Kluyveromyces lactis: one gene and its partners. The protein of the gene in region 1 interacts with the protein of each later gene in a pairwise test. Links are inferred from orthologs where the notes say so. Each region holds a gene or a part of one and is shown on either strand. Other genes may lie near its edges.

Evidence for each region.
Region 2: the proteins of PRP31 (region 1) and RSA1 interact in a two-hybrid assay, tested with the Saccharomyces cerevisiae proteins (2 studies listed by BioGRID). The link is inferred for Kluyveromyces lactis from reciprocal best matches to the Saccharomyces cerevisiae genes PRP31 and RSA1.
Region 3: the proteins of PRP31 (region 1) and PIH1 interact in a two-hybrid assay, tested with the Saccharomyces cerevisiae proteins (2 studies listed by BioGRID). The link is inferred for Kluyveromyces lactis from reciprocal best matches to the Saccharomyces cerevisiae genes PRP31 and PIH1.

Annotation. Positions count from the first base shown.
Region 1 is NC_006040.1:1,252,477-1,256,592, reverse strand, and holds PRP31 (U4/U6-U5 snRNP complex subunit PRP31), read right to left. Parts: upstream 2,213-4,116; coding exon 809-2,212; downstream 1-808. Other genes in the region: KLLA0_D14905g (serine/threonine-protein kinase), read right to left, coding at 1-528; DNA-directed RNA polymerase core subunit RPC40, read left to right, coding at 2,566-3,570; GLD1 (Gld1p), read right to left, coding at 4,069-4,116. UniProt on the Saccharomyces cerevisiae protein: Promotes the association of the U4/U6.U5 tri-snRNP particle with pre-spliceosomes to form the mature spliceosomal complex.
Region 2 is NC_006041.1:1,721,004-1,724,864, reverse strand, and holds RSA1 (Rsa1p), read left to right. Parts: upstream 1-2,089; coding exon 2,090-3,118; downstream 3,119-3,861. Other genes in the region: DDC1 (Ddc1p), read left to right, coding at 1-766; pyruvate transporter MPC1, read right to left, coding at 965-1,339; KLLA0_E19317g (uncharacterized protein), read right to left, coding at 3,137-3,535; KLLA0_E19295g (uncharacterized protein), read right to left, coding at 3,815-3,861. UniProt on the Saccharomyces cerevisiae protein: Involved in a late nucleoplasmic step of 60S ribosomal subunit assembly.
Region 3 is NC_006039.1:884,288-888,014, reverse strand, and holds PIH1 (Pih1p), read left to right. Parts: upstream 1-1,982; coding exon 1,983-2,984; downstream 2,985-3,727. Other genes in the region: ERC1 (Erc1p), read right to left, coding at 1-1,625; PRO1 (glutamate 5-kinase), read right to left, coding at 3,115-3,727. UniProt on the Saccharomyces cerevisiae protein: Involved in pre-rRNA processing and required for the NOP58-snoRNA interaction.

The DNA of each region.
Region 1 (4,116 bases):
TGTAATCATTTCGAAATCCTTATGTTTCGGTTTCAAACGTCTTTTCCTTAGAATATTCGTCTCTTTCGTCAGATAACCCTGCCATTCGTTGGTAATTTGCTCAGTACCCATCAGGTTCGACCTTCTTTGCTCTTCCAAATAGTTGATCACTTGTCTGGTACGTTCTCTTCTGCTAATCACATAGTCGAACATATCACAATAATAATCCAAGAAATACATCTGACACACGGAAACCAATCTCTTGGATTTAGTCTTTGAGGACTTCTTATAGAAATCTTTGGGTAGTTTCTTTGGCGACTTGGTAATGTCTGCCGTCAAATCTCCCTGAGTATCATCGTCGATATCCATGAGCGAGTTTTCAGGGTTTTTTACTATCGATCTAGTAGGAGACGGAGAACCACGTATTCTCGTTGGAGTGCTTGGGGGATCTAGCATAACTTTAGCATCCGTATCAAAACTGAAATTGACCATATCGTCGACCAATGCGTCGACCTCCTTGTGACGACCATTCGCATCTCTTGTAAACATTTCTTATTTTAAACTGTGTGATTGAAGTATGTAAATAAAACCGTTAGTGCTTCAGGTCAGACACGTTACTTCTGACTTGACACAATGAATTATCGGCAGATCTGATCGAATAAGAGACCCTAAAGTTCAATGGTTAAGTTGTGTTCTTTGTTTAAAGTTTTCAATTCGAACATTGGATCATCTTTTTGTGTTTTGGTTTTGCCATAATAGGAATCGTAATTACAGATCTATGAATAGACATATACAGGGTATAAAAGGTACACGGCAGAACTATGGTGTCTCACAACCGTGGTTGTTTGCTGGTGGCGGGGTCCGTAGCTTGTGGGTGCTCTGCACTACGTTTGAGCTTTTCGGACCTCTCATCCTGTAGGAAACTGTGCGTGTTTTTAGTCTCTTGATCTAATCTTAAACGCATAGATTTACGCATTTTGGTCTTATTGAAAGAGGACAATGCGGAAACGTTCTTTGAATCGGCCATCCCGAACCCTATTTCTTCTCCGTATGGGTCCATGGTGGTCTGTTCCTCTTTACCGAACTCCATTCTGTTTTGCATTTGCCTTAGATGCGACATCTTGAACTGTTCTTTGTACTTACGGAACCTTCTACCAGCTCTTTTCTTCTTTGGAGCGTCTTCTGGGATCGGCAACGGCTTGATGTTACTGATATTCGGCGGATCTATTATCTTCTTGAGTTTTTCAACGATTTCATGCCTCCATTTCAAGCCCAGCTTCGAGGCATCTGAGTTCCCATCTGAATTCCCATCTGGGTTAATGACTTGATTCCCCATGGTGCAATCCGCTCTCGCAGCAAGAGCAACCTTGGCAGAGACCATTCTAAGCGCCTGTTTCTGGAACTCAGGAGGCTGTGTTTGTACCACGTCTGTATAGAATAGATATCCCTTTTGTCGTACCCCAGAGATATCTAACGATTTGCCATGCAACGTTTTGTCCTGGCCAATGGATGCCAAATTACAACTGGGAACCACACTTAGTTCTTTAACACTACCACAATGTGTTACCAGTTTAGCTGCAGTATCAGGTCCCAATAAAGCACATAAGTTTGGAGCTACCATTTGTATTCTTGTCTCAACATAGTGTGAGACGTTGTCCCGTAAGTTGTACAGAATATCGAACCAATGGATGGCCTTGGAGAGGAGATCCTTATCAATTCGAGCACCCTCTTTGAAATCTGTCTTTAGAGACATAGATACCACAAGGGTTTCCTCCTTCGATAGCACTTGGTCTAATTGCACGTTGGGAATATCCTGTTGCAGCATCTTGACCACGTCGACGTATTGTTTCCTTTCAGGGACAATAGTTTCCAACCCAGGGAACTTGGCCTTGTAGGTATCTACAATGCATTGAAACACCATGGAAAGCTCTGTATCGAATAAAGGCATCAATTGGCCCAGTTTTATGACATTGTAAGGCTCTGTCGTATGGTTTGTTGCATCTCGTATTATAGTTTCGTGCTTGGCAAGTTGGATGAGGTCATCTAAATCCGCGCCTTGGTGCCAGAATTGCGCGTGAAAGTCAGATATTAGGTTGCTAACACTAGGAGAGGGTAAAATATCCGATTCTGTGGCTATACCACTGGTTATACCACTGGTTACACCACTTAACCCATCATCCAAGCTTTCCTCATCGCTGACACTTCCATAATCTTCGTCATCTAAAAGGTCCATTATCACCTTGTGAAAGAGTAAGACAGGGGAATATGGTTATCCAGTTACAATCCAACTGTAAAATACCACATACTGAACTAACTGAGGATGGTCAAAAGAGCAGTAATCGACTAGTACCTGCTCTCGAGTAGCTATCTCATCGCATTTCTACCAATCTTTAATCATATATAATCACTCTATACGATGTGATCTTTTCTTTTCCAAAAATTTTTCAGTTCTTTAAAGCGATGAGATGAGCTTGAGATGAGGTATCTACACCGATGAGACGGACCTTGACCAGTGTCATAGGGCTTTTCTGAGGTCGTTTGAGAGCTCAAGAGGTAGCATAAACGTAGCAATACAATTGAAAAAGGATGTCCAATATCGTTGGTGTTGAATATAACCGTGTGACGAACACAAGTTCAACAGATTTCCCTGGATTTAGTTCGGATCAAGACAATTCATGGGACTTGGAGAAGTTCAAGGAAACTTTTGACGTACAAATCGAGAGTTTGGATGAGCGTGAAGTGAATTTCGATTTGGTTCATGTCGACACATCGATTGCTAACGCTTTCCGTCGTATTATGATCTCAGAAGTACCATCTGTCGCTCCAGAATACGTCTACTTTTTTAACAATACGTCTGTGCTACAGGACGAAGTGTTGGCGCATAGAATCGGGTTAGTGCCATTGAAGGTGGATCCAGATATGTTGAGTTGGGTGGACACGTCATTGCCCGAATCTGAAAGGTTTACAGATGAAAATACGATAGTGATGTCGTTGAACGTGAAATGTACCAGGAACCCAGATGCTCCAAAGGATTGTGAAGACCCCAAGGTTCTTTATAGAAACGCGCATATCTATGCTAGGGACCTTAAGTTTGAGCCTCAGGGGAAACAGGTGGAACAATTTGCCAAGTGTCCCGTGGTGGCAGCGGATCCAGATATCTTGTTGGCCAAGTTGAGACCAGGTCAAGAGATTTCGTTAAGGGCACATTGTATTCTAGGTATCGGTGCAGACCATGCCAAGTTCTCTCCGGTGTCGACAGCTAGTTATAGACTATTACCACACATCCAGATCACACAGCCTATCACCGGTGATGATGCCAAGAAATTTGTGAAATGTTTCCCTAAAGGTGTCGCAGATGTCAACGAGAAGGGTGAAGCTTATATCAAGGATCCAAGGAAGGATACCGTGTCCAGAGAGGTGTTGAGACACGATGAGTTCCAGGGGAAGGTTAAGTTGGGTAGGGTGAGAGACCACTTCATCTTTAACGTGGAGAGTTCTGGTGCTATGACACCGGAAGAAATCTTCTTCAAATCGGTCAGGATCTTGAAGAACAAGGCGGAATACTTGAAGAACTGTCCAATCTCACAATAAGAAGCCAATTCGCATGTTCTCTATTTAATATCATCCACTCCCTTCCATACACAGACAAACCGTGCATCATAATTCCATTTCTTTCATTCCCTGTATCATACGCATTAAGCCACTCAGTGAACAGATTAGGCACTTATATATATTCATATATAAAGAAGCCACTACATCTAAACTAGTTTAATGTACATTTGTTTTTAGATTCAACTGTGTTACACCATCGCATCTACATTTGTCGGTTCAAACGTCTCCTGATCCTGCGCCATTGGCCGTGCTTTGGTTATAAGATTTTCGATCATGGCTTTTGGATCCACTTCGAGTATCAAGACGTTACCATTATATCCGTCACTCAGATCACTCTGGGCTTTCTGTGTATAGGTTTCGTCCGCGACTTCGTGATCTTTGAATGGTGAGATGGATAGTACAGTTACGAGGAATAGCCCTACTTGAAAGAATAGAATTAGCAGTTGGTAGAAAAGGTACGATGCGTTACCCTTAAAATTACTCGAGGGCACTCGTTCTCCAATATACTGGGTGAACCCAGTGCCT
Region 2 (3,861 bases), on another chromosome or scaffold:
ATTTTCAACAGAAAAAAACGACGGTTCGAGACCTTCAAGCAGATCACAAAGTATTAAGAAGAGCATTACGTTCAAATTACGAGATTTCAAAGTATTCTTAAATGGACTTAATTGTTGGAAAACAAATGACATGATAAGAATCTGGTTTTGCCAACCTGGTGACCCCATTCTCTTTGAAATAACAAAAGATGGGGTTGTATTGGAATTAGTGCAGGTAACTGATACCGAGGGTAGGGTCGAAGAACCAGAGGATTCTGTCACCCAATTTAACCTGTCACCAGAAAAGATAGTTTCACCAATCAAGAAGGATACCGTAGTGAAACCAGATAAGCTTCAAAGGCCGGAAAGTAAGCAGATGCTGTATCCACATACAAAACGCTCACTATTTATAACGGATGAGGATGGAGCAGATGATGATGACGAAGACGAAGAAGGAAGGCAATTCAGGTTTAAAAGGTGGGGGAAACAAAATAGTAACACTACTCCCAATTCAAACACTGGCTCCCAGTCAACACCATCGAACACAACAACCGAGCCGTCAATTAGCGAGCCAGTAAAGAGAATGAGAACAACTGTCGAATGGGGAGGAACAATTGAATCGAACAATGTCGGTACAGATGAATCTCATCAAAGAGAAATGAACAAGGCTGCTTATCTAAATAATTTGAAAAGACAAGCAATCCAAGAAGATCTCAATCTACAGGAAGAAGATGATGGCATGGGTCCCACACAAGCTGACAGACCTAAAGGTTTGTTCGACTCTTGATAATAAAGAACGAAAGAAGTACTTTATTTTTCATTTCGAAATGAATTCATAAACTGTAATTGAACATATAGACATATAATATACAGTACGTAAATAAACTTAGCATTAAATCTTAGATAACAGACCTACACAGTAGTGTAATCTAAGCCATGGGAGAAAGAATGTTGTTTTGTCGGCAGGTTACATTTTCTCTTGCATCTAGGCTGTCTTGGCGACATTGGCGTCAGTAGCGTCAGCTTTCTTGCCACCTAGATAATGATGGTTTAAATATCTGTAACCTTGCACAAGTTGGGCTGTTTCATTCACAACGTGACAACCGAATAACAAGAAGTTCCTTGGGGTAACAGCTAGGGAATATCTCATAAACACACCAGAGTACATCACTAGAGCCAGCGTCATAGGTCCAGAAATCATCTCCGGATCCTTCTTCAAATCGTAGATGGCAGCAATTGGGATACCGAAGTTTGAAACTGGACCCCAGAAATGTGTGGTGAAGACATACTTTAAAGTTTCCTTGTTAATGTATTTGGAAATCAAAGATTGACTAGCAGCTCTCTGTACTGGTTGGGACATGATTCAGGGATTATAAACTGTTGCCGAAGTATAATTTACTGAGTTAATATTAACGTAAACCAAACTAAAAAAAGAAGGATAACAATGAATGAATGGGAAAACGAGAGGCCAACTAATAACTCAGATCGAGTACCAAGAAGTTCTTCAATGTACCTTTAAATCTTTTCTGAAAACATTTAAACATTTTTGTTGAGCTTTAAAAGTCTTCAAGGTTTCGAAGCTTGAAAAATTCACCGCTGCAATACGATTTTCACTGGTAAACCCGTTGGTGAGAGACTACCCACTGCACAGCTGATGGAAGTAAGAGGTATAAAACTACATACATGGAGGGGCCGCATAACCACCAACTTATAAGCCGACATATTGGGGGATAGATTTCTGATTACTCTCAGTGGTTAACTTGGTCAAAATCCGTCTCTCTTATGATTGGTAATAAGAAGACGTATATCAGTAAGGTCACGTGATATAGATGACACTGCGTAAAAGCTATAGCACCAGTGGAATGACTTGCGGGGACCCTTATGAGCCTGTTTGACTGTTACATATTTCAGAATATGTTTCACGGTTTACGAAGCATCAGTTACCGGTTTAAAACTTCAACACCTTTCTCCAGAACATTATGTATGTGAACGTAGGAAATTTCTTTTCATTATCTATTCATCTCATCTCATCTCATCTCATCTCATCTCTATCTGTTCAATTAATGAATATGATGGGAAGAAAGGCCCCAGGGAAGAGTATTCGAGCAACATGAATGGTCAAAACGTGTACAATAACTCTTCACAGGGCGGATCTGTGAATAATAATCTTTTGCAACATACGTTACAAACCACGCGAATGCAGTATTATCCGATACCTCAGATGAATCAACCCAACCAATACGGTGTCCCCGCTATGCAGCATGCACCAATGGGAATGAGATATGGGACCCACCATCCTTTCTATCCGAATCCGCACCAGTATCAACAGAGCTGGTATGGTTTTAATCAAGCGCAACCGCCATACGTGGATGTTACAAAATCAAGCAAGATCAATTATGATGATGAGGAAGAAGAAGAAGAGGAAGAGGTGATAGAGCACCAACAGTCAAATTTAGAGGCAAACGACAAAATCGAAGTACCCAAGAAGGGTCCTATCAAAAAGTTCGCCAATACCAATTTGAGGAATTCTGCTTTAGTTGAGAATAAAATAGCAAGTGATGAAGATGATAAAAGGAAAGAAGAAGAAGATGAAGAAGAAGAAGAAGCTTCTGCTGATGAAGATATCATAGAAACCGTCAAAGGATCAGATCTGTATATACCTGGAACTTCAATAGTGCTTAAAACGGAGGAGGATATCGCAAAATGGAAAGAAGAGAGAAGGAAGATGTGGTTAATAAAGATTTCAAATAAGAAAGAAATGTACAGAGAAAAGTTTAACGTCAAGGACGAAGACTTGAATCGTAATCCTCTCCAGGAGTCTAGAAAGGAGCGCTATTTTATTCAAAATATACAAAACCAAGTTAAAAGGTTTAATTATAAACCAAACTTGACGATAGGTCTTCATCAGAGAATCTTAAAAGAGGAAAACGGTAAGATCTTGGATTTCATCAAAGAACTTGGTGATGCCAATTATCTCAAATATGAACTTACAGAAGAAGAAAAAGAGGTGCTCTTTGGAGGCAAAGATCACAAGAATGACCAGAATAGACGCTCCAATAGGAGGTATGATAGGCAACTCAATCAACGTGATACTCAATACCGAAACCATTCAAGGAAAAGACCGATTGATGAGGTTTGAAAAAGGAAATCTTGCTTACTACTTTAACCCTTCCAATATAAAGTTAGTGACAGCTGAACCAATGAAAGTTCCTATTAAGATACCAGGGAAGAATTTATTCAATGCCTTTCCGTTATTATTGTCAGCAATATCAGCGTCATATTTTGCATCATCGTGGTACCGAGGTTTGTCAACTCGATATTTCATTTTGTGTCTTCCTTTAGAATGCCTCTTGCTCTTCCTCTTCTTATGTTTCTTCTTATCCTTGCTTTTAATACTCTCGTACTCTATATTGTGATTATCTGTATCGATCTTGGGGGAACTGACTTGTAGTATTCTCTGTGTACCATCAGTGCTCATGGCGGGCTCATCAATAAAAGTTGATTCATCTTGATTTGATAACATTCCATTATTTGAAGCAACCATTCTCAGTTGCATGAGTTGGATTACTGACCACTCCGGGAGTGTAGTTTTTAATCCGAATTGATGCCTATTCTAGTTCCTTTCCCTATTTTCACTTTATAAAGACCTTTTCTCTTCAAGTTTTCAAGCATTTATATGTTTCATTTGGGTTTCAGACATGAGGTATCACATATAATATAGATAATAACAAAATATATACTTTTGATATCTTCAATAAAGCATTCTAAAAAACTGTTATGAGAGTGTGGGTTGGAACATTCAATGATATTTATCAGCTGGGTGAACAATCCAAACTTATCCTTCGACAAAATTTGCAACAGTAGCTAAAACTCCCAAAGTAC
Region 3 (3,727 bases), on another chromosome or scaffold:
CAAACATCGATAATATTGCTCATGTTACTTGCCATACTCTCTAAGTCAACCTCATTTTCTTCTTTTTCTCTTCTATGGCATTCTTCCACTATGTTTTCCCAATTGGAATTGAAAACACAATAGCTCAAAGCAAACGCCAGTAATAAGATCCCGGTACCGCATCCGTACCAAAGCCCTTTTAATCCCAACTGAAATTTACCAAAAGTTAGCCATCCACTTAAAGGCAATGCGATAAAATAGTATGCTATGATATTTAACAGGCTGCCAACTTGCTGCCGTCCTTGTGCACGTAATATCGCAGCGCTAAAAGTTGTGAATGCATCATATAATTGGTTAACTGCCAAAATTGGAGCGACATGACGATATAACTCAACGACCTCTTTGTCTTTAGTGAACAAATACGCTAAATTCTTGTCACCTGTTAAAATCAAACAACAATTCGCAATCCCTACAAACGCTGCTATCACGTACGACGTATTAATACAGATCTTCGCGTTGTTGACCGATTCTGTCCCAACATAATTAGCAACCCTTGTGGAAACTACGCAACCCATTGCGAATGGGATTTGATATATCAAAGATCCTATGTTCGATACGACTGATTGTGCTGCTATAGCCTTGACACCGAGATATGTAGACATAATAGTCAATACTTCGAAAGAAAGGTACTCTGCTTCAATCATGAGTAAACCAGGAAATGCCAAATTCCACATAGGTTTCCAGCTGCAAAATAATCTTTTAAAGTGGAACATTGAAGAGAACATGGGATACCAACAAATCAGAGTTTCCTTTCTCCAAAATTTGCAATAAACCAGTAGCATTAAGGCCATAAACCAGTGCGATATGGCGATACCTAGAGGAGCACCAGCATATCCAATGTAACGAGTAAATGAATACACTAGAATAATATTAACTGGAACTGTAATCAACAAGGAGTATGTTCCTGCTTGGAAATGGCCCTGTGATTGAAGGAATCTCTTACCAGTTTCGAAAAAAATCAGCCCTGGCAACCCAAACGATATTATTCTCAAGAAAAGTTGTATCTCTGGGAGGATATCCTGTTCAGCAATCACATAACCTAACCATGAAGCACTGAACCACCATGATATAATCACAGGGAAAATACCTGTCATTATCATCGCTGCACAACGGAATGAATATAAACCAACTTTTGCATATTTCTTGGCACCATACGCTTGTGAGCAAAAGGTATCCAAAGAAGTGGCCATACCCTCCACAAATGCTAAACCAGTAATATTGTAAGTCATTACCGCCAAAGATGCGGAAGCTAAGGCATCACTTGATTTACAGACATGACCGATGACAAATAAAGAAATAATAGCCAAAGAGTATTCCATTAGAAAAGTTAATGTAATTAGAGCGGAGTTGCTTAAGATATAGGAGACTTCATTCCTAGAGCTTGTTGGGGCAGTAAGATCCTCTATGAAGTCTTCGTCAATAAAGTCATCGCGATCTGCATCTGGACTCATTAGTCGATATCGATTGTCTATGGCATCGCCAGAAGATGCAGATTCTCCATCACTTTCATATCTAGTATTGTCATTGATTGTATCGTATCGCGGTCTATCCATAGAGTCACAGAGATACTCACTCTCTTGATTCATGTCTAGTTGTTTCAACTAACCTGTAATGCCCTTCTTTATCTTAAAACCAGTTTGAATGTCCATTAACAGTGGAATGAAAAAAACTAATCTCCAGAATTAAAGGTATTAATACCCAAAATGTTGTATTGAGCCAGGCAGTATGGATTGAACGGCCACCGAGCACGTTCCGATGACACGAACCTTTTATTCGTCTTGGTGTACATATAATTGATCCTTATCTACGTTGAAAAAGCACTAGTTTTGATAATCGCTAATAAGAATTTGATTGTGAAATTCTATATTATCGCTTAGCAGATAACTGCGATAGGAACAAAAAAAACAAAAGAATAAGAAAGTACATACCGTCAATTAGGTGCAATGTCATTTCTTCTTCGACCATTGAATGATAGCAGCTCGAACAACTCCAACAACGTTATAAGAATAAGCCCAGAACCATGTTTTGTCGTAAAATCTAAGGTAATAAACCCTGGTACTACATCGCTATCAAGCAATGCAAAGATATTCATCAACATTTGCCATAATGACCAGATACCCTTACCTGAAATCGATTTCAACCCCGCCATAGTATATCCCCTAATAATCAACAACCAATGGGAAATACCAATCGTAACCTCCTCAATAAGGGAGGATGTTGACAAAAAGGGCAACGTCTGCTACGTGAGCGATTGTTGTATAAACACCAAATGCGTTTCATGGATCCAGCATGATTTACAACTAAGAGAAATCGTAGTTGAATGGTGCTTAGAATCCTGTGAATTGCGAGCGGAGCTCGAAATATCAAGGGATAATATAAGTTTCCCTAAGCTGAAGAAGAAAGGTGATACTATACCTGAACTAGAAATACTGCGAGAAGACCTAACAGAGAATTATGAAGAAACCATCAATGATTTGGTAAATAGGGAACAAAAAGAACCTGTTAGTATTATCGAAAAGAGGCGAGACTTTCTTGCAGAAGACGAACCTTCGACGGGTGAACTGCCGCCATTAATTCCTATCGACCAATCTTCCCGTAGAAAACCTTTAATAGAGGAAATCGAGGATCTTTCACTGCATGAAACCAAGAAACCCAAGGTTGAAGAAATACAAAAAAAAAGTATATCATATGAACTTAGTATGGGCAAACCCAAAGACACCTCAGAGTTTCTCTTAAAGATAGAAGTGACCTCGGAGCTTAACTCTAGTCTTGATTACAATATCAAATATGATGCTAAAAGTAATAAACTCATCATAAAGAATACTAATCTAGGTATTTATCCCGAGAAGAAACTCAAGGTTCCATTACCTGATATATTTAATAATCCTCCAAAATTAGAGTGTTTCTTTGTGAAGCCTGAGCGCAGATTAATAATATTTTTATAAAATCTCAATATGGCCGTATATATATATAAATTGATGCAAGATGTTCGATTATCTATATATGCTTTTATTAAAGGGCTACGTGTATGAGAGTTAAACGTAACATGTAAAGTATATTTTCATTCACTTTAGGTTAATGAGGAGGGAATGCTAAATTTTCCCTATGAGCTACGTATTCACTATCAGCATAGCCTAGAATATCTTCAATCTGATCACTTTGCAGACCTTTAATTTTTGATAACTCTGTGCTTGTATAGTTGCAACGAGCCCTACCTACTGTTTTCAGTGCAACGGATTTATCCAAATTTCCATCTGAATCCCTGACTCCCAATTTTATATCTATACATTCATGTTCATGGAAGCTCCCTTGGACTTCAATAACGCCTGCAGGTAACAAACCAGCTTTGTTTTTCCTCGTTAACGCTTCGTATGCACCAATGTCTATAATTACAGCGCCTTGACTGACGAGTCCATGAAGCATCCAGAATTGTCTGTTCTTCAAGTGATGATGATTACTATTGGCAATAAACCTAGTATGAAGAGGAACATGATTATTAACTAAACTTTGCATCTCAGTGAGTTGTAGGTCAGCCAAATCTTGTGTAAGTTCATTCACGCCATCGTCCCTTTCCTGCATGTAGAGAACAATTTTGGAAATGTTTTCTGGAGTGTCGCTCTTCATAATGATGGTATGGACACCAGCATTGGTTGCTAATTCTGCCGCAATAAGCTTAGTCTTCATACCA